Linked DNA regions of Macaca mulatta. The protein of the gene in region 1 binds, or shares a complex with, the protein of each later gene. Links are inferred from orthologs where the notes say so. Each region holds a gene or a part of one and is shown in the gene's direction. Other genes may lie near its edges. The genes, in order: WNK4, KLHL3 and KLHL2.

Region 1 (9,837 bases):
CTAGAGCGGCGGCGGGAGCAGGAAGAAAAGGAGGACATGGAGACCCAGGCTGTGGCAACGTCCCCCGATGGCCGATACCTCAAGTTTGACATCGAGATTGGACGTGGCTCCTTCAAGACGGTGTATCGAGGGCTAGACACCGACACCACAGTGGAGGTGGCCTGGTGTGAGCTGCAGGTGCGGCTGGGAGCCCCCTCGGTGGCACCTTGGGATGGGACTCTGGAGGTCTTAGGATGAGAGACAGAGGGTGGGGGAGACAGCGTCAAGGGAAGGATATATTTTTCCAAATGTCTATAGACACCTCTGCTGTCTTTGCCCTGAATGATCTGGCTGACTCTGGGCTGCAGAAGGAGAGACTGAGGCAGGTGGTGTCTGGTGACTCCTCCATGGGTATGAACATTCTCACTTTAAAGTCTCCATACTCAACCCTGAGAGGTGGAAGATAGGATGGGAAGTTGGGCAGGGGATCCAGTTCAGGTCAGTTTCCTGCTGGTGGGTACCCACAATCCCTTCCTCTCCCCTAAGTCCTGAGATCCTCAGTTATGACCCTGGTCCTCTTGATCCCCTCACTCCTCCCCGTCCCCACCTGTTTGCAGACCAGGAGGCTGGGATGTGGGAAGCCAGGAGCTGGGCAAGGGTCCTCTCCAACTCTAAAAGATTTAGGGCAGTTGTGGCAGAATGGGGCCCCCTAGTCCCTTCTGGAGCAGTCAGACTTCTGGACTTCACAGCTGCGAGGAGGGGGACATAGGGAGCTCCAGCTCTGGAGTGAGTCCAGTTCTGCTCCTCATCCCACTGCCTACCTGTGCTCTCCCTTCCCTCCCATATCTAAAGGCACTAAGCCCATGGGCTTTAGGAAGACCTTCCTCCCATCGCTCCCATGCTACATATGGGTTAGGAGAACCCAGTCAACTTGGGGCCCGAAGCTTCGGATTCAGATTGGGGGACAGAGCCTAGGGGAAGGGTCCCTCTCCAGCCCTGGCACAGGGCTCGCCCCTTGCGCCTGCCAGTGCCGCGCCCCAGGCTCTGGGCCAGGCCAGGAGAGGCAGCCAAACTGGTGGGTGAGGGGAGGGAGAGGAGCCGGGGCGGGACAACTATGGGGGTGGGCGGCCTCTTGGCACCTAGTTCTGGATCTTTTCTTTCCTTCTCAGTACCAACCTCCATATCCCTCCTGCCTTCTGTCTGGATCTAGCAGTTCCCAGTTTCTGGGGCCAACCCCCTTGCCGGCCCCAATTCCCTGCCCGCGGTCTCCTGCTGCCCGCCTGCTGCCTGCTCACTGCCAGCCCCCGGGTGCCCCCTCCCGCCCCATGGCGGGCCTGGGCAGCCACAAAGGCACTATTGAGCTCAGGACTCCGGGACCAGGCTGCATAAAGGAGCTTGTGTCCAGCAGGGGGTCTAGGGGGCTGCCCCAGGCCCAGGTTGGGTGTGTCCTTGGATCAGCTTACGTGGGGGACTGTTGGAGAGTTCAGGGTCTGCAGCCCACTGGGCGAGTGATCCCACTAATCCCACCCCATCTGTGGGCTCCAACCCTTACTTCTTCCCGCAACCCCACTCCAGGTGTTCCTTTCTGTGGGGGTCCTGGGCCTGACATGACACCCGTCCCCCATCCCACAGACTCGGAAACTATCTAGAGCTGAGCGGCAGCGCTTCTCAGAGGAGGTGGAGATGCTCAAGGGGCTGCAGCACCCCAACATCGTCCGCTTCTACGATTCGTGGAAGTCAGTGCTGAGGGGCCAGGTTTGCATCGTGTTGGTCACCGAACTCATGACCTCGGGCACACTTAAGACGTGAGCTCTGCGCATGAGTGGGTGGGGAGAGGGAGACTGGGATGTGTGCCCACTGCTTCCTGAACTCCCAGGTTCCTCAAACTCTCTAATATCCAGGTGTAAAACCAGGTTCATCATCTCCCTCTCACCCAGCCTTTGCCTCGGTGAGTGGCAATGTCCACCCAGCACTCCAGTCAAAAACTTGGGTGTCTCCCCAGACTCCCCTCTCTCCACTCTGCCCCCTCATCAGTCTGTCCCCAAGTCTTTCCTTAACCTCTCCCCACCTGGCTTTCACTGCTTCATCCATGCCACCACCTCAATGCCATCTCGCTGATCTGGAGCCCTGCAGCAGCCTCCTGAAGGGCCTTCCCAAACTCTGCCACCCTCTAAGCGATCCTATCTTCCTGCAGCCTGGAGGATCTTTCCCAGTCGAAAATCTGAACTGTCACTCCCCTCCTTAAAACCCCTTCAAAGTTTCCCATGGCCTTGGAATAAAGCCCACACAGGCTCACCTGTTCACAGACGCCTTGGGATACAGCCTCATTTTTAGCCTAAGTTCCAATCACACCAAATTCCTGGCACCTCGTCCCACCCTGCCTTGTCACTGGCTTTTTCCGTGCCTTTGAGCATAGTGTCCTGTCTGCCTGGGAAGTCTCCATCCCTTCCCCCTTTCACCTTTGAGCTCCTACTCATCATTCAAGATGCAACACAAAAGTATTTCCTCTCCGAAGCCCTCCCTCATGCTTGGGGCAGTTGGTCATCCCTTCCTGCGCTTCCACAGCACCTTGGCTGCGGCCCTATCAATTTACTTCCCAACCCGTTTGGTAACATCATGTCTATCCACCACACCCCCTGACTCAGTTTCTCCCTGTGGCCAGGCAGACATAGACTAGGAGAATGCTGGCAGAAGATGCGGAGGCGGCAGCAGGGTGCTGCAGGGGGGAACTTCCCAGTGAGGGGACTCCTCCCCATTGGCCGTGTCCCCCACCAGGACCCTTGCTATGTGCCCTCCCCCAGGTACCTGAGGCGGTTCCGGGAGATGAAGCCGCGAGTCCTTCAGCGCTGGAGCCGCCAAATCCTGCGGGGACTTCATTTCCTACACTCCCGGGTTCCTCCCATCCTGCACCGGGATCTCAAGTGCGACAATGTCTTTATCACGGGCCCTACTGGCTCCGTCAAAATCGGGGACCTGGGCCTGGCCACGCTCAAGCGCGCCTCCTTTGCCAAGAGTGTCATCGGTGCGTCTCTCCAGGAGGGTCCATGCCATTCCTTCCTCCCCCACCTCAGAAGAGAACCTAGGTACTCCCTCCCCTCAGCAAGGGCCTTCAAGGTCCACGAAACTACCAGATGACAGGGGAGCTGAGGAGACCTATGGCATCCCTCCTCAACCCCACTGTGGGCCGGGGTCACTTGCACTCGCAGGGTTGCCTGGGGCTACCTAGCCCAATGGGAAGGACAAGGCCAGAGTGCCCAGCAACCTGATCCTTGCTGTTGACCCTACAGGGACCCCGGAATTCATGGCCCCCGAGATGTACGAGGAAAAGTACGATGAGGCCGTGGACGTGTACGCGTTCGGCATGTGCATGCTGGAGATGGCCACCTCTGAGTACCCGTACTCCGAGTGCCAGAATGCCGCGCAAATCTACCGCAAGGTCACTTCGGTGAGAGGGATGGGACTGGCGGGAAAGGCAATTCCAGGGCCACTTCCCATTTTCCTGCCCCGGCCAGCCCGCAGTCAGTGCCCTTTGCCTGCACGAAAACAGGCTAGACAGAGTCGCCTTGGGGAACACAGGATATTGAATGCACATGCACCCCCTCCAGTACACGCTATTTAGAATAATATGTGTGGTGCTCCCAAGAGTTCACAAATGATTTCGCATCCCATCTCTCATCCAATCCTTCCAGCTGCCCTGTGAGGTGAGCGGGGCAAATGTTCCACCCTGCGATTTACAGATGAACAAACAGCGGGAGACTTGTTCAAGGTCACACTGTAAATACTTGGCGGGGAGTGAGATTTGAAATCACATCTTCCAGTGGCAGTCAGGCTTTTGCAACTGCACGCGTAGCTGCCTAAGGCGGGAGTGGAGTAAGGGGTGGGGGGTGTCAAGCCGAGAGCTGGGGATCAAAGGACCGGAGGTGTCATGCAACCCCTTCCCCCAGGGCAGAAAGCCGAACAGCTTCTACAAGGTGAAGATACCCGAGGTGAAGGAGATCATTGAAGGCTGCATCCGCACGGATAAGAACGAGAGGTGGGGGTGAAAGGGCAGAGCATGGGTAGAGTAGGGCCGCGGGCCGCGGCGGGCTAGGCTAACCCCTCGCGTCACCCTCAGGTTCACCATCCAGGACCTCCTGGCCCACGCCTTCTTCCGCGAGGAGCGCGGTGTGCATGTGGAACTAGCGGAGGAGGACGACGGCGAGAAGCCGGGCCTCAAGCTCTGGTTGCGCATGGAGGACGCGCGGCGTGGGGGGCGCCCACGGGACAACCAGGCTATCGAGTTCCTGTTCCAACTGGGCCGGGACGCGGCCGAGGAGGTGGCACAGGAGATGGTGAGCGGAGGACAGACTGTGCTGCCAGTGGACGTGTAAAGGGCATTGACCCGAGGAGATAGTGCAACAGGGATGGGGCGCAGGAGGCGTGGCAGCGATGGGGGCGGGGCACCTTACTCCTCTCAGAATCTCCTGCAGCGTCTCCCTACCTCTCCAGCCCTAACTTACCTGCACCCACACCCAGTTTTCCTTTACAGAGGGAGCCCTGGGTCCTCCAGCATCCCTGCTTTACCTCCAGCTGATCTGTTCTTCCTGGAATGCCCTTCTTGCCAATTTATCTTTTCCTTCTTTCCTGCCTCCCCCTTGTTCTTTTTCTTTTTCTTCCAATATGATCAGAACCATCGATTTCGGGAAGCCATCCCCTCTGGAGTCAAACTTAAATGCTTCTTTCCACTTCAGCAAGTTCTCTGTTACATCACTCCCCACTATCGGTCCTGTCTTAGACCTGAATAAGTTCCTATCTTTCTTCTCCACTAGACTATAAACTCCCTGAGGGCAGAGACTGTGTTTATTGATTCTTCTATCCCTGGCAGTGCTTGGCACATAGTAAGAGCTCATTAATAGCCCACATCTGTACATGGCTTAAAGCACTTTCACATGCATTTGATCTTTGCTACCCATCCTGCATAGGGGGCAGTTTTATCTCAACTTGTTGATAAGGAAATGGAAATTTAGAGAGGTTGAATACCTTGTCCACTGCCCCAAGTAGGTAAGTGGAAGAGCTGGATTGAAACTGAGGTGGTTCAGATTTTAAATCAGGTTACCCTTCCCCACCTCCTTTACTCACTCAGCAAAGCTTGTGGCTAAAAGGAAAGAGGAGGTGATGAATGGAAGCTGGTAGAAGGGGAGAGGCATAAGATGCAAGGGCAGACGCCTGGGGACTGGCTTAGGAAGTCCTGAAGGGAGTATGAGATTCTTTTTGGGGAATAATGGAGTCTCACTCTGTCATCCAGGCTGGAGTGCAGTGGCACTATCTCAGCTCATTGCAACCTTCGCCTCCTGGGTTCAAGCAGTTCTCCTGCCTTAGCCTCCCCAATAGCGGGGATTACAGGCACGAGCCACAATGCCCAGCTAATTTTTGTATTTTTTAGTAGAGACGGGGTTTCACCATGTTGGCCAGGCTGGTCTCGAACTCCTGACCTCAAGTGATCCACCTGTCTTGGCCTCCCAAATTGCTGGGATTACAGGTGTGAACCACCGTGCCCGGCTGAGTATGGGATTCTTAATACAGACATGACTGTTGCAAGGGTGGAGACCACCTACGGTGGGACAAGAACCTGAGAATGTGTTAGAAATTTAGAGCAGGTCTCCATATCATGGAGATCCAATCTTGATCCATTGCTGACAAGGGATTCTTGGCCTTGGTACTGTTGGCATCTTTGTTTTAGGGACTGCCCTGTACATTGTAGGATATTGAGAAGAACCCCTGGCTTCTACTCACTAGATTCAATAGCATCTACCTTTGAGTTGTGGCAACTAAAAATGTCTCTAGATATTGCCAAACATCTCTTCTTCCCATTGGAAACCACTGACTTACTGTATAACTATGAACTGGTCAATTCATTAATCTCTAAAATGGAATGGTAAGGTTTATCCCACAAGGTTGTTTGGAGGATCTAATGATGATAATGTAAGGAGCTGCCAGTTAGCAGACATAGTGGGTCATCAGTAAGTGTTGGTTTCCTTCCTCCCATATCCCGGAGTTCCCAAGAAGGTGTCCTGATGGATCTTTGAGAGGGGGTCCCAAGCTGTGTTCCTCATCCCCCACCCCAACTCCAGGTAGCTCTGGGCTTGGTCTGTGAAGCCGATTACCAGCCAGTGGCCCGTGCAGTACGTGAACGGGTTGCCGCCATCCAGCGAAAGCGTGAGAAGCTGCGTAAAGCAAGGGAATTGGAGGCACTCCCACCAGAGCCAGGACCTCCACCAGCAACTGTGCCCATGGCTCCCGGTCCCCCCAGTGCTTTCCCCCCTGAACCTGAGGAGCCAGAGGCAGACCAGCACCAGCCCTTCCTTTTCCGCCACGCCAGCTACTCATCTACCACCTGTAAGTCACCCTGATCTTGAGACATAGGTCCCAGAACACCTTGGACTCTGCCCCAAACCCAGAAATTCACCCCCGCCGCAGTCACCCTGCCTTCCACCTCTAGCCATGAAGCTCCCTCCAGGAAGGAACTCTCCCACAGCTCCAGGCCCCTCCTTGCTTAGGCAGCCCCCTCCTCTGCCACTATTCCCTTTCATTTCCCCTTTTTTTGATCCCCTCCCTCCCCAACCAGCGGATTGCGAGACTGATGGCTACCTCAGCTCCTCCGGCTTCCTGGATGCCTCAGACCCTGCCCTTCAGCCCCCTGGGGGGGTGCCATCTAGCCCAGCTGAGTCCCATCTCTGCCTGCCCTCGGTGAGAGGGGGTTGCATGGGGGACTCCCAGCCATTCCAAGCCTATGACCTATCTCCCTCCTTGTGAAACCCAATCTCATGATCCAGCCCTATGTCCCTGGAAATCTACCATTCTTGTCCTCCTTTTCCCTAATTCTATCTCCCTAATATCCTTCCAGCATCCTTGACACCATCTCCCTAGATTGCAACAGTTATCTTCCCCTAACCTCATGAACCCTTATCCTGTTTCAGGCTTTTGCCCTATCCATTCCACGTTCTGGCCCTGGAAGTGACTTTTCCCCTGGGGACAGGTATGTTCTAGTACAAGTTGGGGTGCCAGGGTGAGACACTTGGGACACTGGGGTCTCAATGTCTGCTCTGACAGTCATTCTGTCTCCTTTCTCTTTACCAGCTATGCCTCAGATGCAGCTTCAGGCCTTAGCGATGTGGGAGAAGGGATGGGACAAATGAGGAGACACCCAGGGAGGAATCTCCGGCGCAGACCCCGATCCCGGCTGCGGGTCACTAGTGTAAGGATGGAGTACAGGAGATAGGGAGTAACCTACAGGGCCAGGAGGGGAGTGTCAGGGGAAAGCCGGGGGCGTCACCCAGAAAAGGGGAGAAGCAGTGTGTGACTGGTACTCAAGAGGCGACCAGACTTTAGGGGTGGGATCTACTTATCTCCAAGTCCATTGTGGCTGCTGTCACTTGGCTGGGTTAGGGTGGAGACACAGCATGATGACAGAGGGCTTGACTTCCTCCCCTCTGCTGACTTTGAATCTGAAGGTCTCAGACCAGAATGACAGAGTGGTTGAGTGCCAGCTACAGACCCATAACAGCAAGATGGTGACCTTCCGATTTGATCTGGATGGGGACAGCCCGGAAGAGATTGCAGCTGCCATGGTGAGGGGGAGAGAGATGAGGACAGAGTATTTGGATCTGGAACAAGAGTCTCCTTCCGGATGTCCACTGGGGCTGAAACCCACTGATCCGACAGCAAGGGTTTTTAAATCTCTGGTTGACACTTAGCACAGTGACACTGAAGACGTCTCAGCCCTTGTTTTGGGGGGAGATTTCTGTTTATCCAGGGAGGTTTGGCTTCTCAGCTGGAGGAATTTGAGACTCACATTGACCGGGTACACACAAGTGCTATGTGTAAGTGCCTGGTAGACGTGCAATACTGTGGCTGTAGGTGAAGGATGGACTGGGCAGCAGGGGCAATGGGCTTACCCAGGACCTTGGCAGATGGGCCAGAAAGGCCGTGAAGGGTGGAAAGGCTGTGAAGGGTGTCCCTATGCAGGGACAGCATAAACAAAGGCATTCCAATTAGAGAGTGACTTGGAATATGGAGCTGGGAGGGCTTCATGAGGGAATCACTATCATTAGAAGTAAAGATTCCTACAGGAGAGTTGCGGGGAGTGAAGCTGGGTAGGTAAAGTGGGTCCAGATTATAAAATAGACAATGTTAAGAGTTAGGCAGAGGCCAGGTGCAGTGGCTCACGCCTGTAATCTCAGCACTTTGGGAAGCTGAGGTGGGCGGATCACCCAAGGTCAGGAGTTCAAGACCAGCTTGGCCAACATGGTGAAACCCCGTCTCTACTAAAAAATAGAAAAATTAGCCGGGCCTGGTCGCGTATGCCTGTAGTCCCAGCTGCTCAGGAGGCTAAAGCAGGAGAATTGCTTGAACCCGGGAGGCGGAGGTTGCATTGAGCCGAGATCGCGCCATTGTACTCCAGCCTGGGTGACAAGAGTGAGATTCTGTCTAAAAATAAATAAATAGGCAGAGTGGGCTGGTTCCAGTGGCTCACACCTGTAATCGCAGCACTCTGGGAGGATGAAGTAGGAGGATTGCTTGAACCCAGGAGTTCAAGACCACCCTGGGAAATATAATGAGACCCTATCTATACAAAAAATTTTAAAAATTTGCCATGTGTGGTGGCACATGCCTGTCATCCCAACTACCTGGGAGGCTGAGGTGGGAGGATCACTTGAGCCTGGGAGGTCAAGGCTGCAGTGAGCTGTGATCATGCCACTGCACTCCAGCCTGGGAGACAGAGTGAACTTTGTCTCAAAAAATAAAAATAAAAATAAAAAAAAGGCAGAGTGTAACATGGTGACAGTAGGCTTTGTGAAGACCATCTGCCATAGGATATGGAAGGGGGTTAGGGGAAGGGAGGGAAAATACCTGGGAGGTAGACCCAGGAAACCACCTGTGGACAAAGGAGAGAGTAGCTTATGGGAGGGAAGAGGAGAAAGGGTGAATCTGAGGGTTGTTTCGGGAAAATAAGTTACTCTGTAATCCAGTAACCTACTGACGTAGTACAGAACATAGTACATAGTAGATGCTCAATAAATATTTGCTAAGTTGATATGATAGGGAGTTAGGGAGAAGGGATGTCAAGGACAACTTGTAGGCCACCAAAGGAGAGTAGGAGAGTAGGTGACCAAAGGAGAGAGGAAGTTAGAAATGAAAGAATTTTTTAAGAGGTCATGATGAGCTTGAGTGAAGAAGGGACAGCCAAGACAAGATCCTCCATAGCTGAGGGATATGGGTCAGGCAGGGCTGGAGAGAGGTGGATGGAGGAGTGGTCAGTACAGAGTTGAGAGTGAAGGGAGATGAGCCTGCAAAGCCAGAGACACAGAGGGTTGCAGAGTGTGTTTCAGTGCATACCACCAGTTCTGGAGTGGGAAGCGGCAGGGTAGGTCATGGAAGGACACAGAGATGAAGCCACAGAGGTAGGAGGAAGTTAGTCAAAACTGAGTGAGGAGAGAGTTTCAAGGAGGTGGCATAGGGTGAATCCTCAGGCAAGACCACACTGCCTTTTGTTAGGAGATCTTTGTGGGAGACCAGTTTCAGTGGAGTGGAGGTGGTGGATGCCAGCCCCTGGGGTGAAGGAGGGAAAGGAATGGGAGAAACGCCAGGTATTAGGAGCCCTCTCTAAAGCATCTCCTCCATCATGTCATTCACCTTGTGTCCAGGACAAAGACACAATATCACCTGGCACACAAGGCTCATCACCTTCCATCAAACCACTTGACCCTTTCAGAGTCTTCCCTCCAGCCACACAGGTTTCAAAACAGGCCTCTGGAGAGGTTGGGTGCCTTCCTGCCTCTGCCTCCACCTGCTTCAGGGGCTCTCACTCTTAGAGCCTTC
Region 2 (10,341 bases), on another chromosome or scaffold:
AGGTCACAACCGGTACTGGTCCGTGGCCTGTTAAGAACTGGAATGCACAGCAGGAGGTGAGCAGCCGGTAGGTGAGCATGACCACCTGACCTCTGTCTCCTGTTAGCTCAGCAGTGGCATTAGATTCACCTAGGAGCATGAATCCTATTGTGAACTGTGCATGCAAGGGATCTAGGTTGTGCACTCCTTGAAAAGCTATCTAATGCCTGATGATCTAAGGTGGAACAGTTTCATCCTGAAACCATCATCCTCCCTGACCCCCCACCCCCATCCTTGGAAAAGTTGCCTTCCATGAAACTGATCCCTGGTGCCAAAAAGGTTGGGGCCCGCTGGACTAAGACACTATTATTGCTGGGCAATCCGACGATGGTACCTTTTTCTCCAGACAGATACCACTTTCATTCTTTTGACTCTCCTCTACTGCAAGACTCCAACAGCAACTGTCCTTAATCTGAAGTCCAGTCAGGAAAATTAGCCTAGAGCAAACAGGTTCAGGCTGTGGTCCAGAGAACATTTGGATAATAAGGTAGAAAATGTAAAATGTATCTCTGAAACTGGAAAATATTGGGGGTAGGAACTTTGTGCTAGGAGTCTGGAGACTTTGCTTCCTGACTCAGCTCTGTCCCTGGTTTTGCTAGATAACCTTTCTTCCTTTTTTTTTTTAAATTTCAACTTTAATTTTAGATCAAGGGGTACATGTACAGGTTTGTTACATGGGTATCTTGCATGATGCTGAGGTTTGGGGTATGAATGATCCTGTCACCTAGGTAACGAGCATGGTACCCAGTAGCTTTTCAACTACCTTTTAAGGCTTGCTCCTTGTATTAGATGGTTATTGTGTTGCTATAAAGAAATACCCGAGGCTAGGTAATTTATAAAGAAAAGAGGTTTAATTGGCTCATGGCTCTGCAGGCTGTACAGGAAGCGTGCTGGCATCTGCTTCTGCGGAAGCCTCAGGAAGCTCACAATCATGGTGGAAGGCAAAGGGGGACCTGGTATATCACACGATGAGAGCAGAGGCAAGAGTGAGGAGGAGGGTGCCACACACTTTTAAACAACCAGATCTTGAATGAACTCAGAGTGGGAACTCACTCATTATTTTGGGGACAGCGTGAAACTATTATGAGTGATCTGCCCCTATGACCCAATTACCTCCCACTAGGCCCTATCTCCAACTCTAACACTGAGGATTACATTCCAGCATGAGATTTGGATCCTACCAACATCCAAATCATATCACCCCTTTTCCCTCCCTCCATCCTCTAGTAGTCCCCAGTATCTATTGTTCCCATCTTCATGTCCATATGTGCCCAGTGTTTAGCTCCCACTTATAAGTGAGGACATGTGACATTTGGTTTTCTGTTTCTGCATTAATTCACATAGAATAATGGCCTCTCACTGCTTTCATGTTGCCTCAAAGGACATGATTTTGTTCTTTTTTATGACCATGTAGTATTCCATGGCGTATATATACCACACATTCTTTATTGAGTCCACCATTGATGGGCACCTAACTTGATTTTTTGTCTTTGCTATTTTGAGTAGTGCTGTAATGAACATGCAAGTGTGTGTACCTTTTTAGTAGGATGGTTTATTTTCTTTTGAGCATATACATAGTAATGGGATTGCTGGGTCAAAAGGTGGTTCTATTTTTAGTTCTTTGAGAAATCTCCAGACTGCCTTCCATAGTAGCTGAACTAATTTACATTCACCAGCAGCGTATAAGCATTCCCTTTCCTCCACAGCCTTGGCAACATCTGTTATTTTTTGACTTTTTAGTAACAGTCATTTTGACGGGTGTGAGATGAGATGGTATCTCATTGTGGTTTTGATTTGCATTTCTCTGGTGAGTAGTGATGACGAGCATTTTTTCATATTTGTTGGCTGTTTGTATGTCTTCTTTTGAGAAACGTCTGTTCATGTCCATTGCCCACTTTTCAAAATGGGTTTATATGTTTTTTGCTTGTTGAGTTAAATTCCTTATAGATTCTGCATATTAGACCTTTGTCAGATGCAGTTTATGAATGTTTTCTCCTATTCCGTACACTGTTTACTCTGTTGATAGTTTCTTTTGCTATACAGAAGCTCTTTAGTTTTATTAGGTCCTACTTGTCATTTTTGCTTTTGCTGCAATTGCTTTTGAGGACTTAGTTGTAACTTCTTTGCCAAGGTCAATGTCTAGAAGGGTATTTCCTAGGTTTTTTCCCTGGGATTTTAATAGTTTTAGGTCTTACATTTAATTGTTTACTGCATCTTGAGTTTATTTTATTTTATTTTATTTTTTGAGACAGAGTCTCACTCTGTCACCCAGGCTGGAGTACAGTGGTACAATCTCGGCTCACTGTAACCTCTGGGTTCAAATGATCCTTCTGCCTCAGGCTCCCAAGTAGCTGAGACTACAGGCACATGCCACCACACCTGACTAATTTTAGTATTTTTAGTAAAGATGGGGTTTTGCCAGGTTGGCCAGGCTGGTCTCAAACTCTTGACCTCAGGTGATCTGCCTGCCTTGGCCTCCCAAAGTGTCGGGATTACAGGCATGAGCCACTGCACCTGGCTGAGTTAATTTTTATATATGGTGATAGGGTCCAGTTTCATTCTTCTGCATATGGATAGCCAGTTATCCCAATATCATTTATTGAATAGGAAGTCCTTTCCCTATTGCTTATTTTTGTTGACTTTGTTGAAAATCAGTTGGTTGTAGGTGAACAGCTTTATTTCTGGGTTCTCTTTTCTGTTCCATTGGTCTATGTGTCTGTTTTTATACCAATACCATACTGATTTGGTTACTATAGCCTTGTAGTATAGTTTGAAGTCAGTTAATGTGGTGCCTCCAGCTTTGTTCTTTTTGCTTAAGATGAGCTTTCTTTTCTAAATGGCGTCTTCTGAGTATTCTCTATTCTGTCTACTTCCTGTGAATCGTGAGTGGTGAATAAAGTATGAAGGTGTAGTAGTATGGTTTTGACACATACATTATAATGATATCGGTTAGCATGGCAAAAGTGGGTTGCAGGGAAATTTTGTGGGTTTTGATATTGGCTCTTAATAGTTGTATTTTGAAACTTGAATACCCACAACCCTTACATATTTCCTTTTTGGATCTTTTTTCTTTCTGTCTGGTGTATTAGATGTGGCATTTCCCCACCTTCCTGTAAGGCGAATATGTAAACGTGGGTATGTGCAAAGGAGTCATCTCTTTCTTATGTCCCTTTTATGAATCACCCAGTTGTCTTCCTGGTGGATGTCTGAACTCTGGCATGGATTCCGAGATTCAATTTCCTTATTTGTGATGTTCAGTTTTTTGTGGTCCCTGTGATTGACCTCAAGAGGAAATATCTGGAGCAGGGCCACAAGGCTGATTAGAGGAGGAAGGGACATAGAGGGAACAAGATAGGAGGGGTATTGTTGTGAAAGGAAGAAGTGAAGATACAGCCCTGTGGGGTGTAAATGAAATTATCCAGGCCTCTTCTCACTTGAGAAAGAGTGAGTTTGAGTAATGGCCTCGTCTAAGAGAACACTGAGGTGCCAGGGGAGGTAATCTTTGAGAATAACCCTGTAGCCAGTTTGAGTTCAGGAGGCTATATAAAGTATTAGTTACTTTTACTTTCTGTCACCCCAGTGTTTCTCTCTTCCTTCTGTGGTTTTAGAGCTTTGTAGTAGTGAAGACATTTATCAGGTTAAAATGATAAGAATGATAGATTTACTAAGCGTCTCTTCATACTTTCACCTACATCATGTTATCCTCCTTGAAGCCCCCTACAAAACATTAGAGCCTAGTGTTTCTTCTTAAACAATCATACAGATTACTCTGAGAAGAAAAACAGACCATTTAAAACATTTTTAGAATCCTGTGATTTTGGAGCTGAAAGGGACTCTAAAGACTGTCTGGTCTTGACCCTATATTGTGAATGAGTAGCTGAGCATGAGGTCCAGAGTGTGGAGAACACTACTCAGGAAAGTCACTCACCCAGTGAGAGCTGGTGCAGATTCGGAAAAGCCCAGGAGTGTCTTGAGGGGTCCCAGAAGAGAGATGCTCATAGCTGATTTTTCTGAGGCATTAGGGTAGCTTCTGCACCACTTTTTGTGGCTAATTGCCCCAGTTACCTCTAAGCCTCTGTGGCTAGGATATACAGACTGGCCTCCTGCCTTCCACAAGATTATGTTTTAGTTTGGGAAAGAAGATTTATAAATAATGAATTAGCTAGGTGTGAGATGACAATACAGGACAGTATAGTTTGTAGCTATTTTGGTGGTGATTGGCTGTCATTGGTGTGATTCGGGAAGTTATGAAGACATGGGATTTTGACTAGCCTCCCAGAAAGACTAAAGGACTGGGATTGGAGAAGCCTTTCCAGGCAGGGAGAGTTAAATTAGTCTAAATAGAAGCTTAGCAGCTGGAGATTACAGGATGTGAAAGATCTTTGGCTGGATATGGGGGTTCAGTGGGAGACTTACTAGTTGGAGCCACAGCTTAAGTTAAATTCCAATATGACAGATTTTAGGAAGATATTTTAGGATTGTGCTAAGATATTTTAGTATTCATTGTGATAGCTTTACTGCAGTAGTCTTTGGCCTCTTGGAGTAAAATAGGGTTTGTTTCCGTTTCACCTATTTGTACTACCTCTCTTTTTCGACTAATTTTCCAATTTCTCTCTGTATTCTTTTAATTTCTCTCTGTGTTCTTCTCACTTCTGTCAGGTGCTTTTTCCTTAACTTCTCCCCATCTATCAGACACTCAGAGCTACTATAGAATTTGGGAGGAGGATTTGGAACATAAACTGTGACCTACAAGTGAATTTCCCCAGGTGGATGATAAACTCCACTGCAGGCCACAGAGGGGCCTCCTCATTCCAGCAATCTGGCCAGGCTGACAGACTCATAGCCTATGGGGGCAGGGGAGGGTGTAGGGGCCAGTATTTCTCGGGCTAGTGACGAACTGCCTGATTCTTTGCAGCCTAGACAGAGGAGGCAGGAGCCCCAGGGGCGGGCTAATCGCCTGGGCTGGGGATGCCTGGGCAGATGCAGAGGCAGCTGGAAAGGTGGCAGTGCACCTGGGTCGCTGGAGCTGCTGCCGTTCCTAGGAGACCAAGGAGCAGCAAGCCTGCGGGGGAGGGGGAGCAAGTGGGTTGCTGCTTTTAGCAGCTGAAAGGGCTGCAGGGAGCTCTGGGTAAGACATTTTCTGCTGCTGCTGCTTTTGCGGTAGAAGCTGCTGCGAGTAAGTCAGAGGAAGGAGGATTGAGAAGGGAGGAGGCTTCACTTGCAGCCATGCTGAATCACTGTTGCTGATCAGATCTCCCACTGGTCTGCTGGGAGAATCAAGAACAGAACTAGGATTCCCGGGTGCATGCACACAGTTCAGCGGCTACCACCCTGACTGGGCCTCACACAATGGAGGGTGAAAGGTATGTATGTATAAGTATGTGCTGTGTTGTGTGTGTATATAAGTAAATGTGTGCTTGCGGTACAGCCACCAGCTTTTGTGCTTGCATTGGCTAGGCAGGGTTGGAAAACCTGGCCACTGATGGATCTCAAAGGGCGGCAGAGCAAGAGCAGGAAAGCCGCTTTCCAAACCACCCATTCCAGGGCTTGAATCTCCAGAGATCTGGCTTCCGCAAAGGCAGGTCTGGGTTTGCTAGGCAGCGGAGCACCCTGAAAGAAGGGACTTCCTGGCTGGTGTTCGGGAATAGTTTCAGCACAGGCTGAATTAGATTGCCTTTCTCAGGCTGTTTCAAGGAGGCGTTTCCCTTTCCTGGCTACTTTCCCGGGGTGTTTTTTCTTTGGTGGGGGGTTTTTGATGTCATAGTGGGGCCGGCCTGACATAGTGTACTTGCATTTTCACGCAGGAGTGCTCGAATCTTCAGCAGGCATGCCATGCTGATGGCTGTGTGTGTGTGTGCGCGCAGGCACGCCGTGTATGCCTGTATACACACACATTCAGGGATGAAGGAGAGAAATCCAGTCAGATGACACTTGCTCTGAACTGAGTTTCATATTTGTATTGAAAAGTTTATGAGTTATACTGGAAGGTCTGTGCTTCCTCCATCAGGGATTTCTTTTGAAATACGAACCAGCAGAAAAGATTTCAAGTACTTTTGTTGAGCTGGATCTAACTAGCGAGGCAGTTAGATCCTGGCAGGCACACCCATCTAAATTTTTAAATTGTTATCTGAAGATCTGAATCTTTCATTGTGAAAGTACTCAGTGCAGTGCAGAGGTGACATTCCTCTGTCTATGAAGTAAAATATCTCTTGAGTGCCAACCTCTTCATTCTTTGGTCTGCAGTTGGTAGAGTACAGGGCTTGCCATTTTATCCGAGGAGAGAGCACTGCAGGGAGGGGTCCGGCCATGGCAGTGCACCACTGAGGGGAAGGCTGCTGCTCCAGGTTGCCAGTTTGATGCAGACAGTAACTATCTGGTTAACAATAATAGGCTCAACTAAGTCAACACTAGAGAATCTCTCAGTGAACACTTTCCTTTTCATGAGTTGTTGTGACTTCTGCGTCTCACGGGGCTCAATGATGCCATTGAACATCTCTAGACCCTATTAGAACTGGCATGATGGTTGAGTGTCATCTCATTCTTTTGTCCGTAGAGGCCCTGGGAATTGTGTTCTTGATGACTCCCACAGGAAGAGCCTGGGACTGACTGTGCTGCTGGTGCATCGTCTTTCTGGGTGCTCTTTGTAACAGGAGTTTAGTGTTGAACTGCATGTGGCCTGCTGGGCAGCAGAACATGTGAAGGCTTGTTTCCTAGGTGTGGGGCAGAGGTGAGCAGTGTCTTTGGTCCCCCAAACAGTGTTCCATTGGTCTGGTAGGTGGCAGAGAATGGGGCTGATGTGATGAAGGTTTAGAGATTCTGGGCCATGCCTATTTGCTTGATCTGTGGTGTAACTGGGGTTGAGAGATCAGTGTGAGACTACTAGCAGCGGATCAAATGGTTTGGGGCACTGTGTTCCCAGTTCTGTGTTCAGAAATGTAATGAGTCCCTGCCCCTGTCCTGGGGCCTCTCAGCTGGGATGGCTGATGTCTATGGCTTTAGAACACCAGGTTGCACATGTTCTTGTACTTTTCCTCTGCTGAAGGCAGATGGTAGACAAGAAATCCAAACCGAGCAGCTTCCAATGTTCACCAGGTCACCCAGGTCATACCTTTTGTTCCTGCCTCAAGCCCAGCTTACCATGCCAGGCATTCAAGTCTTCTGAACTCCAACTCCTGTTCCCATTCCCACTGCTCACTCATAAACCTACTAACAATTCTATTGATCTCTTTCATGATCACCCATCCTATACATTACTTCATCTAGCCTCATATCCTTAGCTCCCAGAGTTTCTTTTGCTGGATGTCTTTCCCTTCTAATTTTGCAAAAGTTATCTATCAAGGTTATTCTAAAATTCTACTTTATCTTGGAAACTCAGCTTTTCTAGTCCTGGCTGATGTTCTTCTGAATTCTAATCCCTCTAGTTTGCATCTCATAGTTGGACACTGAATAATAGGCCCATCAGATCTTTTAGTGCTTTTATTTCATATATCTTAGCAGTCCCCAAACTTGGAGACAGGTCCTCAAGGGCAAGGCTAGTACCTTGTACTTCTAAATACGCCCATTGACTACTGTGTGGGTACACAAATAGCAGGTGCTGAATAGTTATTAGCTGATTAACTAATAACCTTTGTGTGAGGCTCTGATAACTAAAAAGAAAGTTGGTGAGAGAAGAGACTGAAGCCTTTGGCCAATAGGTTCATCTTTGGATATCAGCCTTATTATCTTAGCACGGGTAACTGACTCCATGGAATGCTTTGAGGTAGGGGGGAGAACAGAGGGAAGTAGCCTTGTTTTGCAAGTTCCCTGGGAAATTGAGGTCCGGAGAAGCTGAGTGACTTGCCTAGGATCACATGTCCAACCTCCAGAGACTGGAGGGATCCTGAATCTGGTGCTTGTTCCACACTTAACCTGCTGAATCTTAATTGGGGCTGTTTTTAAGCATTACAAAATTTCAACCAAGAGATTGCTAATGAACAATTTTTTTTCTTTGCCACGAGGGTATGAAAATACTTTGTACCTTGAAAGGCTATTAATTAAAAGCATGGGCTTTGGAGTAACTTAGACCTAGTGGTGAATCTACTTTACAGTGTGACCTTGAGTGTGTCACACTCTTTTCAGAACTAATTTTTCTCTTTTGTGTAAAGGAAATAATAACAGTACTTATACTTCATAGAGCTGTTGTGAAGATTAAATGATACAATATGTGTAAGGTACCTAGTAAAGTTTTTTAGGCACTGAGTGAGTACTCAGGAGATGGTAGTTGCTATTATCATTGGTATCCACCTATTGCTATGTTGTAGCCTATACCTCGCTGCTGGGTTACTAACCAAGGCATATTTTAGGACCTCTCTCTGTTTATCATCCAAAGCAGATTAAGTAGAACCATTTCCATGAGGAAATGAGGGAGCTTATCAGGCCATCATCTTGCTTCTTACCTAAAACTATCTCCGTATAGTAAGTTCCCCCATAGGGCTTGGCATTTCTTCTTTTAGGTTTCATCAAGATCTACCTTAATCTTTCTTTTTATAGACAACCTGTGGCATCTAGTTGCCTCAGTGATTTGGAACCATGGGCTGGATACATGTTTGTTCAGGCCAAAATCTCAAGAAGAACTTGTGAATTTGCACTAACCTTTGCTGTATCTTTCTAGATTTCCAGGTCTCTCCTGGAACTTATGATACTGAGTCTTCCCCAGTTCCCTCTGTGGGAGAATCACTGTGGCTTGACCAGTCAGACGAAGGTGATTTTGTCTTCTCTTTTGCAAAGGGAAAGGGTCTCTGGCTGTTAGCTATTACAATGATAAATTGTGTCCATGTGAGTGGGTATGTAGAGAAGATAGGTATCACAAATGGCAGTTGTCCTTGCAATTGGGATTTTATTTCAGTTCTGGAAATCAGCCTTGTGGATAGCTTAAAATAAAATTTCAAAATAAATGGTTAGTCAGATTCATAGAGACAGAAAGTAAAATGGTTGCCAGGGGCTGGAGGGAGGGAGGAGTGGGGAAGTTATTGTTTAATGGATAGAGAATTTCAGTTTGGGAAGATGAAAGAATCCTGGAGATGGATGGTGGTGATGGTTGTACAACAGTACGACTGTACTTAAAAATGGTTAAAATTATAAATTTTATATTACATCTATTTTACCACAATAAAAAAAACATTGAGGCCCAGACTGTGGCAGATCTGCAAGAGTTACAGAGCAGCACAACTTTGGAAGAAGCATCATAAAAAGGGGAAGTTAATTGTCTATTTTTCTTAAAATCATGATTATTTTCTTCATCAGAAGCACAGCGATGCCCCTGCTTGAGACGGGCATCATGTACCGGGCACTGTGCTGTGATTTTGTGTGAGGTGTCCTCAGAGGATAGTTCTTACTGACTGGTTTTTACGAAGGAGAGCCTGTTCCTGGACCTCAGGGAACTTCTGATCCAAAGGAGCTCATCTATTTACCTTTGATCCAGGAACGACAGATAGAGAATATTTTCTGAGGAGACAAGACTTTGAAAGCCAGTATACTTTAAATGTTGAGTTTTCTAATGTCAGGTTAAATGCTGGCAAGACCCAGGGAAGAGCAAGTGTTGAGCAACCTCGCCTTTTTTCTGTTCCCAGTGGCAAGTCACTTAGTCCTCCCCGAACCTTAGAAGTCAGGGATAGAAAATTCTGTAAAAAGTTTTGGGCATCACTGCTGCCTGAAGCAGATGTGCATGCATTTCAACCATGATAATTGAAACCAAATTTTTCCATTTTGGAAATACTTTTTGGCAAAGTAAAGTTTTCAACTGCAAAAACAAAGTCAGGGAAAGAAACCTCTTGATTTCCCTGCACCCAGATTTGGATTTTTAGGATTTTGCTTGCTAAGTTTTGAATTGGTAAGACAGATCTGGACAAGATAATTTTTGTGTGAGTTTTCCTAAAAAGTGCTTTATTTGATGAAATTTGCCATCATCAAACTAACCTTTTTTTTTTTTTCATTTTCTGGATGAATGTTCAAACTAGGTTAAACGGAATAGAGCACTAATAAACCATGTAAAAAATAGATTGAACATGTGCTGGTAGGTTTTTTCGTTTTTTTGTTTTTTTCTGAGACAGAGTTTTGCTCTGTCGCCCAGACTGGAGTGCAGTGGCGCCATCTCGGCTCACTGCAAGCTCCGCCTCCCGGGTTCACGCCATTCTCCTGCCTCAGCCTCCAGAGTAGCTGGGACTACAGGCGCCCGCCACCACTCCCAGCTAATTTTTTGTATTTTTAGTAGAGGCGAGGTTTCACCATGTTAGCCAGGATGGTCTTGATCTCCTGACCTCGTGA
Region 3 (9,837 bases), on another chromosome or scaffold:
GGTTTTAACTGGTATTTAAAGATAAATTTAAAATTTTATCAAGAATTTCCTTAAATGATATGAGTGCTGAGTATATAAATTTTCTTTCTTATGCATCAGTATCAGTCATCAAGTTTTAAAAGCTTATAAATGTCAGTAGCTTAGGTGGGAGCCTTCTGGAAAACAAGCTGTTCCTGTTTTTCATGTAATTGATGTGTTTACATTCTGCCATTTTCTTCTCTTAATTTTAGCCCAATGTTACATACCTGAAGTATTTTTCCATATATATGAACTATTGACTTTTTTTAGAGAAGGAAATGAAGACTTGTGTTTTATTATAGGTCTATCATCTGTGGAAGCATACAACATAAAGTCTAATGAGTGGTTTCATGTTGCTCCCATGAACACAAGGAGGAGCAGCGTTGGTGTGGGTGTTGTTGGAGGTAGGTGCTGACAGTTCTTTCAGGTACATATGGCTTTTTGATCCTTGAGAGTGATTCTTCCAATAATCAAAACATTAGTTTTCTGAATGGGCAAGCTAATTATCATTTTAAAAAGAAAATCGTAATTACTGTAAAATTTCAATTATCCTCTTTTCAAAACTAGCTTCTCTATGTAAATCAACCTATATAAGGCCTTTTCTCTCCCTCTCCATCCCTCTCCCTTTATCCTCTTCCTGTGTGTGTGTGTGTGTGTGTGTGTGTGTGTGTGTGTGTGTGTGTGTGTTTGACTTATATAACAGCAGTCCCCAACCTTTTTGGCACTGAGGACCAGTTTTGTGGAAGACAATTTTTCCACGGACAGGGGTGGGTTGCGGGGCTGGTTTTGGGATGAAACTGTTCCACCTCAGATCATCAGGCGTTAGTGTGTCATAAGGAGCGCACAACCTAGGTTCCTCACGTGTGCATTTCAAGATAGGGTTCGCACTTCTGTGAGAATCTAATGCCTCCGCTGATCTGACAGGAAGCAGAGCTCAGCCGTAATACTCGCTCACCTGTCACTCACCGCCTGGTTCCTAACAGGTTCCAGACAGGTACTGGTCCATGGCCTGCGGTTTGGGGACTGCTGCTATGTAAGACTGTCAGCTGATTTTAATACAGTTGTTTGGGGGGAACAATTCAGGTGACATAAATGTGTAATTTTGTATCTGGAGAAGGGCTGTTTAACATTTAAGGGATGGATTGCCACAGTTATTTATTTATATCCTACTTTGTCTCCCAACAGAAGTTAAGGAAGGCTCTAAGTATTAATGTTTTGTTTTTTTTTTAATTGACTTGGGCAAATTTGCAGGTTTCCACCCCCTCCTCATCATATGTGTAATTCTCTGCACTTAGAAAAAAACAGCTTTGTTGAGATATAATCCATGTACCATACAATTCACCCATTTCGTGTATACAGTTCATTGTGCATCCATCACTACAATTCATTTTTTAAAACATTTTTATTATCCTCTAAAAGCAATCCTGCTTCGCTTAGCTCTTACTCCTCTCCTACCCAACCTTCAGCAACTGCTAGTCTGCTTTCTATCACTTAGAGATTTGCCTCTTCTGAACATTTTAGTTGTACGGTATGTGATCTTTGGTGACTCACTTCTTTCGCTTAGGGTGATGTTTTCAAGATTTGTTTATACTGAGGCATTTTTTAGTACTTCATGCCTTTTTATTGCCAAGTAATATTGCATTGCATTCTGATATTAATTTTTGATTTAACCTTTTTTCCAATTTCCTAAGATAACTTTGGTATTTAATTCTGTCTTACAGGATGTTGTTCACTTATCAAATAGTGTTACCTAAAGATATAATGAGTGTGCTTTTTATCAGATTATTGAGGAAAGTATAAAATTAACATCATCTATACCCTGCAGATCTTCATAATATGATTTGATTACTCCATCTGTCACCATTAGGCAAGACCCTAATATAGTTCATAAAAATCAGAGCACTTTACGGGGAAACTCTACTGCCATGAAGGAAAATATATTAATATTTTCTGGCTTGAAAAAATAGTGTTTTTTGTTTGTTCGTTTTTTAATAAATTTGGCTTTCTTTGTGATTTTATGTGTAGGTTTGCTCTATGCTGTAGGAGGTTATGATGGAGCGTCACGTCAGTGTCTTAGCACAGTAGAATGCTATAATGCTACAACAAATGAGTGGAGCTATATAGCAGAAATGAGCACCAGGCGGAGTGGAGCAGGTACATGTGAACCTATTTTAGCAATCGAAGCACAAAAATGATGGAAAATAGTTAAAGTAAAATGATTCAGTGGCATCACTTTACATTATCTGAAAATATATGATATGCTGATTTTAATGGCACTGCTAAATGTCTTTTGAATTGTGCAGTTAATGGGAGTAATTACAAAGTAATTTTACTTTAAAATTTAATGTCAAAGTGCTATAGACATTTCTGTTTCATTTATATATTCACATTGTTAGCACTCCTTTTAGTTTCTGTTTTTAGTGCTTATTGGGGAACTTGCTTAATAATCAAATCTTTTCATGTATATTTCTTAAAATTTTGTGCTTTAATTCGGGGTTATTTTATTATGGATATTTTTTTCAAAAGGATTACATTAAAGGACTTTTTCCCTCCCTGTGTTTCACCTACATATTATTAATATTTTTATTCTGTTTGACATGCCTCTTTTTTCAGAATAAAAGTTTGTTGAGATGCTTATTTAATCATCAATTCTATTGATTTCCATTTCTTAAATTGTAGGCTATAGTATCAGCTTGCTTTTATTATGAATTATAACTTCAAAAGTTTTAGTTACAGTTAAATAAACATATTAGTTAAATAAACCTAATATGATATAAATCTCTTGTTCTTTTTGCCCCTCTATTTGGCTGGTTGTGTTTTATAGGTGTTGGTGTGTTAAACAATTTATTGTATGCTGTAGGAGGTCATGATGGCCCTTTAGTACGAAAAAGTGTTGAAGTGTATGATCCTACCACTAATGCATGGAGACAGGTTGCAGATATGAACATGTGCAGAAGAAATGCAGGTATCTGTCAGTTTAAGGTTATAAAACTTATGTTGAATTTTATTTTAAGTTTCACTAGTATCACTGTGTATTTCCATTGTTCTTTTACTGATCTGGGTTCCCTGGTAGACTTTGAACTCTTTAAAGGCAGAAACTTACGTAATAATCCTGTAAAGTGAATGCCTGCCACAGTCTCTGGAACATAACAGGTTGTTGTGACACGTCAGTAAACTTTTTTCTACTAGCTGCTACTTTTTGGTGATAAACTTGGAGACTAATTAATTAGGAGTAGACCCTTCATTTGATACTTGAATTCATTCATTCTTACACCAAATATTTTTTAGTGCCTACTATGTATCTATCACATACTGGAGATCCTACTTCTCAGGAAATTTAGTCTAGTTGAGTAAATATTTATACTAGGTTAAAAAACTAGTTGGTTATCTAAATCTAGAGGGGAAGTCTGCAGAGGTAACCCTAGCTTAATACAGTTCAGGATTTCCAGGAAAATGGAAAAACTAAAGCAACAACAACAAAAAATAATTTTAAGAAAGTAGAGAACTTTAAGATTAGGGAAATAACCACTTAAAAAGAAGAATCAAGGAAGGGAAATACAAGTGGAAAATAGACTCAAGATAGCTACATAGCCTTTCAGGAAATGCTAGGATTCTTCAAAATGCCACTATCTTCATGTCATTTCTCATAGTGTAAAATAAGTTCCTGGTGAGTCTCAAACTTACGTACACCATGGGACACCCCTCCTCCATCAGCACGCATCTTAGTTTCTCTTTAAAGAAGTGTGATTACTAAGAAAGACTAAGTATGTGGAACTGCAGATACTGTTAGCCACAGACCAGAATTTATAATTAAATCTGTCTGGCCTTGCACGTCATCTGGTCAGTTGTATTTAGTCATCAGTTCGCTCAATGGTAAGACCCTCACATCTGGGTCCTTAGTGGAATAAGTGACTCCTGTACACATTAAGTTAGAAAAGCCATGGTGATTTGTGCAAGTGTCCTTCCTGGATTAGGAAACTTAGTTGCAATTTGAGCTTTTTATGAATATTTTCTTAAAGGTTAGAATAATCTTATTTTTTCTCTATATGTGCTTATTGTTTTCATATAAAAAATTACTCATTTCTTTTAGGTAGAAGAATAAAGAGATAATTTGTATTTATAGAGCTATATGATAGGTCTATCATTATAGAGCTGTTCTTCAAAAAATTGTGTGGGAAAGGGTAGGATTTAGGAAAAAGACTTAAGTCTGTTGAAAAGTTGTTTCATACTTTGACTTAGACAACATTACTTGAGTTTATTTGATAATAAGGAAGAGAGAGAAATCTGAAAGCTAACTTTTCAGTTTTTCCTTCTCAATCAATTATGTTTATTTTCTATGCAAATAACAGAACTTGAATTATTTACTTCTATAATTTACAAGATACAATATAATCCAATTGAGCATATATTTTAAAATTATTTAAGTTCATAAGAATATTTAAAATCTCACCCTCATTCCATATTCCTGGTAATCTGAAAAAAACTTCTAATAAGATCTGTTCAGCTCTTCCTTTTTAATAACCTAGGCTCAGGACCTCATCCAAGCACCTAAATTACTGGGAAGAAAGAACTAAGCTGGCAAAGAGTGGAGGACACGTATTCAATGTTAAATGGGGAGAGGTGAAAGCATCCATATAAATTTGAAATAGCAAGCAGCTTACCAGCCAAATTTCAAAAGTTTTCATAAGTATGGTAAATTATGACACCAAGAGTGGAGTAAAAATGAAATAAACTTGAATTAGATGATTATATATAGACTTTTAATACCTAGCACGTCTGTAATAGGTTCTCAATATGAATTTGATTGTGTTGAAGTAAACTGAATAAACTGGAACCATCAAACAATGCAGGAAAGTGCATCCTTTTGGCAAAGTGATTTGGCTCCAATCGCCTAAAAGGAATCTGGTGTTGTGAGTTAGTGGGTTAGTAAAATTGGTGTCTTCTGAATATATAGCCAATATATTCAAATGGATGTATGGACCAACCTCCCTTTCTGCAGTGGGATGCTCTTTAATCTGTGAGCCCCTCGTAGATACAATTGGGAAAACTCTTCAGGACGATATAATCTCCTTGTTCATGCCTTCCATCATAGCAGGGCCATTTTTGAGATCATTTTTTCTCTCACAGTCCTATGTTGTCCATCAACAGACTGAAATATAGTGTTGCATACACATATACCTACTGTATGGAGCTTGTGTGGCAGCAGCATTTGCCTTTTAAGTATTTGAACAACTTAAAATGGTATGAGTTTTTTTCCTACAAAGTTTTGTAGATTTGGGCAGCATTCTTCTGGATTCTTTGATGCCCTCTAGTACAAGTTCATAGTAGCACTGAACTTTTTATAAGGTATTAAATGTACTTTAAAAAATTACATTGAATTAGCTTTTTAAAAGCATTTACCATTTGACTCAGCAGTTTTCTTTCTAATAATTTATATTAGGAAAAATTGCTCAAGTATTCAAAACAATATTCAGGGGATCTTTGTTCATTGCAACATCATTGATAACAGCAAAAAAATCAAAATTACTTAAATATCCATCTAAAAAAATGATTAAATAAACTACGATGATATCATACATAAACATTACATTTATTAACTTGAGGAACTGTCCAAAGTATGTTGGTTGGCCAGGGTGGCTAAGTTGTTTAATAAAGTAGCATGTGTAGTGTGAGCTACTTTGGGGTTAAAAAAGAAAGTATCTGAAAGGCCGGGCGCGGTGGCTCAAGCCTGTAATCCTAGCACTTTGGGAGGCCGAGACGGGCGGATCACGAGGTCAGGAGATCGAGACCATCCTGGCTAACACGGTGAAACCCCGTCTCTACTAAAAATACAAGAAAAATTAGCCGGGCGAGGTGGCCGGCGCCTGTAGTCCCAGCTACTCGGGAGGCTGAGGCAGGAGAATGGCGTGAACCCGGGGGGGCGGAGCTTGCAGTGAGCCGAGATCGCGCCACTGCACTCCAGCCTGGGGCACAGAGCAAGACTCTGTCTCAAAAAAAAAAAAAAAAAAAAAAAAGAAAGTATCTGAGTATATATGTGTAAAGAAAAGTTAGCCAGAGTAGAGATCAAAATTTTAATGGTCATTATTCTAAGTGACATAAGGTTGGAGGTCATCTTTTTTTCTTTATACTTTTCTAGATATTTTGAATTTTTGCAAAGAAAATAGTTATTTTAATAGATAAATAATATTCTCTTCTTTAAAGGGAGATGAAATAGCTAACCATTTAGTGTGATAATTAAAATTAAGAATATTTTTACCTTCTACTAACATATATTTTCTTAGGATTCCCTAAGTAGCTGACTTTGACTTTTTATTTAAAAAAAATAAATAAAATGAGGGTCAAAATAGTTTCCAACCTATAATGTGAAAATTAAGTACAATAATGCATATATAAAGTAACTACTGCATAAATGACAATCAGTAGGAGCTTAGAAGTGGTATTATAGTCTCCTAATAAAGAAAGAATTCTTCTTTTTTTTTTTTTTTGGAGACGGAGTCTCGCTCTGTTGCCTAGGCTGGAGGGCAGTGGTGTGGTCTTGGCTCACTGCAACCTCTGCCTCCTGGGTTCAAGTGATTCTCTTGCTTCAGCCTCTTGGAGTAGCTAGGACCACAGGCACACTCCACCATGCCTGGCTGATTTTTGTATTTTTAGTAGAGATGGGGTTTCGCCATGTTGCCCAGGCTGGTCTCGAACTCTCGTGACATCAAGTGATCTGCCCACCTCGGCCTTCCAAAGTGCTGGGATTACAGGCGTGAGCCATGGTGCCTGGCTATCCTAAAATAAAAAGAATTCTTTACGTGCTCACTATTTTCTTGCCTCCTTTCAAAGAAATTAGTGTCTCTGGATTACCTCACTAAACATGTACAGGGATACTCATATTCATCCAACTTTTTAAAATAATCGTTTTCTCTCTGTGTAATTTTTTAAAGGAGTTTGTGCAGTTAATGGTCTGTTATATGTTGTTGGAGGGGACGATGGTTCCTGTAACTTGGCGTCAGTAGAATATTATAACCCAACAACCGATAAATGGACAGTTGTGTCATCGTGTATGAGCACAGGGAGAAGTTATGCAGGTAACTGGTCTCTAAAGTCAATTATCATACGAAAAGATGACCTCATTATGGTTTTTATATTAACAAAGTTTTTCTGTTATAAGAATAAAGTCTTTTCTGAAGGTATAGTTTATATCTTACTCTTAAGATGATTAACATTGGTTGTGTATATTCTGAAATAAAGCACCAGTATACTTTTGTCATTCTGCAGTCATTTGTATTCAAAATCCCAAGTCTTTGATATACAAAATCATATAATAAAACTTAACGTAGCTAAAATCTGTATGCAGAGAAGAAGAAGTCACTATGTGACAAGGCTTTAATTCCTGAGATGTCCGAGAAATAGGATAGGATTCCTATGTCTCCCCGTGGTGCGGCTCCATGAGACAGTATTATAGTGAGGCTGTGGAATAATTTTTCTTTCTTAAGCATGGTACTGGTTGAGTTATAAAATGTGATTTTTTGTTCCATTCTCTTAGTAAGATAAATTATAATTTTAATAAATTTTATCGTGAATCTTTAAATTGTTTTCAGTGATATTTATCTGGCTTTTAATAGTATAATATTTCTGTAACAAAATTGATCCAATAGTGGAGGAAGAAAATGTCTAAACTAATTAACCATCACTGTTGCTTATGTATCATTCAAAACAGCACTTAGAAGAACTATGTACAGTAGAATTCCAATATAACATGGCTGAATACTAGATTAATTTTTAAAACAACTTCATTGAGGTATAAACTGACAGAATACATAGCGTACAGTTGACCCTTGGACAACACAGGTTTGAACTGTGTATGTCCACTTATATGTGGATATTTTTTGAAAAATAATTACGTTGGAAAAATTTTTTTGGAGATTTGTAACAGTTTGAAAAAACTCAGATGAACTGCATAACCTAGAAATATTGAAAAAATTAAGTAAGATTATGAACACATAATATATGTAGATATTAGTCTGTTTTATCATTTACTACAAAATATCCAAAAATCTATTACAAAAAGTTAAAATTTATCAAAACGTATGCACACAAACTCTTACAAGAACAAACACCTACAAACCATAGATGGTGTCATTCACAGTCCAGAGAAATGTGAACAAACCACAAAGATACAATATTAAATCATAACTGCATGAAATTAACTGTAGTATATTACTGTACTACTCTAATAATTTTATAGCCGTCTCCTGTTGCTGCATTGGTGAGCTCAGCTGTTGTGAGTATCCACTTAAAAAGCTGGGGGGCGCTAATCACCTTTGAAAGAGCAGTTTTGTCTCTTCAGTGACCGTATCTCAGTAAAAAGTTCTCTCTCATGGTTCTGCGTTATTTTTCATCATGTTTACTGCAATATCATAAACCTTGAATAACACCGCGGGACCCATGCAAAGTGCCACTGGTGATGATGCTGGGAAGTGCTCCAGCGAAGCAGAGAAGAGTCATGACAGGACAAGAAAAAGCGGAATTGCTTGAGATAAACCATGGACTGAGGTCTGCTGCTGCACTTGCCCACTATTTCAAAATAAATGAATCCAGGGTCGGGATCATTGTAAAAAGGAAAAAGGAAATTCATGAAGCCATCCTTGCAGCCATCCCAGCAGTTTTGAAAACTTCACACTTTTTGTGAAATCCCTTTTTATCTTGTGTTGAACATGCAGCTTTTATGTGGATGCAGGATTTTTCTTTTTGAGACAGAATCTCACTCTATCGCCCAGGCTGGAGTGCAACAGCGTGATCTCAGGTCACTGCAACCTCCGCCTCCCAGATTCAAACGATTCTCATGCCTCAGCTTCCTGAGTAGCTGGGATTACAGGGGGTGCCACCACGCCCGGCTAATTTTTAAACTTTTATTATTTTTGATTTTTTGGTTTTGGTTTTTGGTGGGTGCAGGACTGCTATAAGAAAGGCATACCTGTCAACTCTAATATGACTTGAGAAAAAGCAAAGTCATTATATGACAACTTGAAGCAAAAGGAAGGTGAAGGATCTGAAACTGGAGAATTTCCTCAGCCTACTCAAGCAAAGGATAACTTGATAATTTTGGAAAGGGGTTTGGCTCAAAAAATGTCAAGATAACAGGAGAAGCAGCTTCTGTCAACCAAGGGGCAGCAGATAAGCTCCCAGATGCCATTAAGAAAGTTGTTGAGGAGAATGGTTATCTGCCTGAAAAAGTTTTTAATGCAGACAAATGTGCCACCAAGGACATTTATTACGAAGGAAAGTGAGCACCAGAATTTAAGGCAGAAGGGGATAGGCTAACTCTACTATTTTGTGCAAATGCAGTTGGGTTTATGATTTGGGCTGCTCTTATCTAAAAAGCTGCTAACCCCCAATCCTTGAAGGGAAAATATAAATACCAGCTGCCAGTCTTGATTGCATAACAAGAAGACCTAGACAAGAACTCTTTTCCTGGATTGGTTCCATCTGTGCTTTCTTCCTGAAGTCAGGAATTACCTTGCCAGTAAGGGACTGCCTTTTATTTTGATATTGGACAGTGCCATTGGCCACCCAGGACCCCATGAGTTCAACACCAAAGGCATAGAAGTGGTCTACGTGCCCTTAAACACAATGTGTCTAATTCAGCCTCTAGATCAGGGACCAGAGGAACCTTAAAGTTCATTCTATATGGCACTCTATGGAAAAAATTGCCAATGCTATGGAAGAGAATCTCAACAGAGAAAACATGAAAGTTTGGATGGATTACACCATTGAATATATCATGGTTGTTATAGAAAAAACTATGAAAGTCATCAAATCCAAAACAATAAA

The links.
Region 2: the proteins of WNK4 (region 1) and KLHL3 are in contact, whole or in part, in a crystal structure (PDB 4CH9), measured with the Homo sapiens proteins. The link is inferred for Macaca mulatta from reciprocal best matches to the Homo sapiens genes WNK4 and KLHL3. Residues at the interface, in NP_115763.2 of Homo sapiens: Glu557, Pro558, Glu559, Glu560, Pro561, Glu562, Ala563, Asp564, Gln565; in NP_059111.2 of Homo sapiens: Arg339, Phe355, Gly357, Ser358, Leu359, Arg360, Thr386, Phe402, Gly404, Gly407, Ser432, Tyr449, Gly451, Ser481, His498, Arg528, Tyr577.
Region 3: the proteins of WNK4 (region 1) and KLHL2 are in contact, whole or in part, in a crystal structure (PDB 4CHB), measured with the Homo sapiens proteins. The link is inferred for Macaca mulatta from reciprocal best matches to the Homo sapiens genes WNK4 and KLHL2. Residues at the interface, in NP_115763.2 of Homo sapiens: Glu557, Pro558, Glu559, Glu560, Pro561, Glu562, Ala563, Asp564, Gln565; in NP_009177.3 of Homo sapiens: Arg345, Phe361, Gly363, Ser364, Leu365, Arg366, Thr392, Phe408, Gly410, Ser411, Thr412, Gly413, Ser438, Ser439, Tyr455, Ser487, His504, Arg534, Tyr583.

The regions. Positions count from the first base shown.
Region 1 is NC_133421.1:67,133,149-67,142,985, forward strand, and holds part of WNK4 (serine/threonine-protein kinase WNK4), read left to right. Parts: coding exon 1-177; intron 178-297; exon of another isoform or gene 298-390; intron 391-1,611; coding exon 1,612-1,784; intron 1,785-2,780; coding exon 2,781-3,001; intron 3,002-3,266; coding exon 3,267-3,424; intron 3,425-3,923; coding exon 3,924-4,012; intron 4,013-4,093; coding exon 4,094-4,310; intron 4,311-6,089; coding exon 6,090-6,354; intron 6,355-6,583; coding exon 6,584-6,705; intron 6,706-6,935; coding exon 6,936-6,994; intron 6,995-7,068; coding exon 7,069-7,213; intron 7,214-7,469; coding exon 7,470-7,586; intron 7,587-9,837. UniProt on the Homo sapiens protein: Serine/threonine-protein kinase component of the WNK4-SPAK/OSR1 kinase cascade, which acts as a key regulator of ion transport in the distal nephron and blood pressure.
Region 2 is NC_133411.1:146,582,516-146,592,856, reverse strand, and holds the start of KLHL3 (kelch-like protein 3), read left to right. Parts: upstream 1-5,152; 5' UTR 5,153-5,388; coding exon 5,389-5,402; intron 5,403-10,341. UniProt on the Homo sapiens protein: Substrate-specific adapter of a BCR (BTB-CUL3-RBX1) E3 ubiquitin ligase complex that acts as a regulator of ion transport in the distal nephron.
Region 3 is NC_133410.1:173,865,291-173,875,127, forward strand, and holds part of KLHL2 (kelch-like protein 2), read left to right. Parts: intron 1-320; coding exon 321-422; intron 423-2,043; coding exon 2,044-2,172; intron 2,173-2,842; coding exon 2,843-2,983; intron 2,984-6,947; coding exon 6,948-7,091; intron 7,092-9,837. UniProt on the Homo sapiens protein: Substrate-specific adapter of a BCR (BTB-CUL3-RBX1) E3 ubiquitin ligase complex that mediates the ubiquitination of target proteins, such as NPTXR, WNK1, WNK3 and WNK4, leading most often to their proteasomal degradation.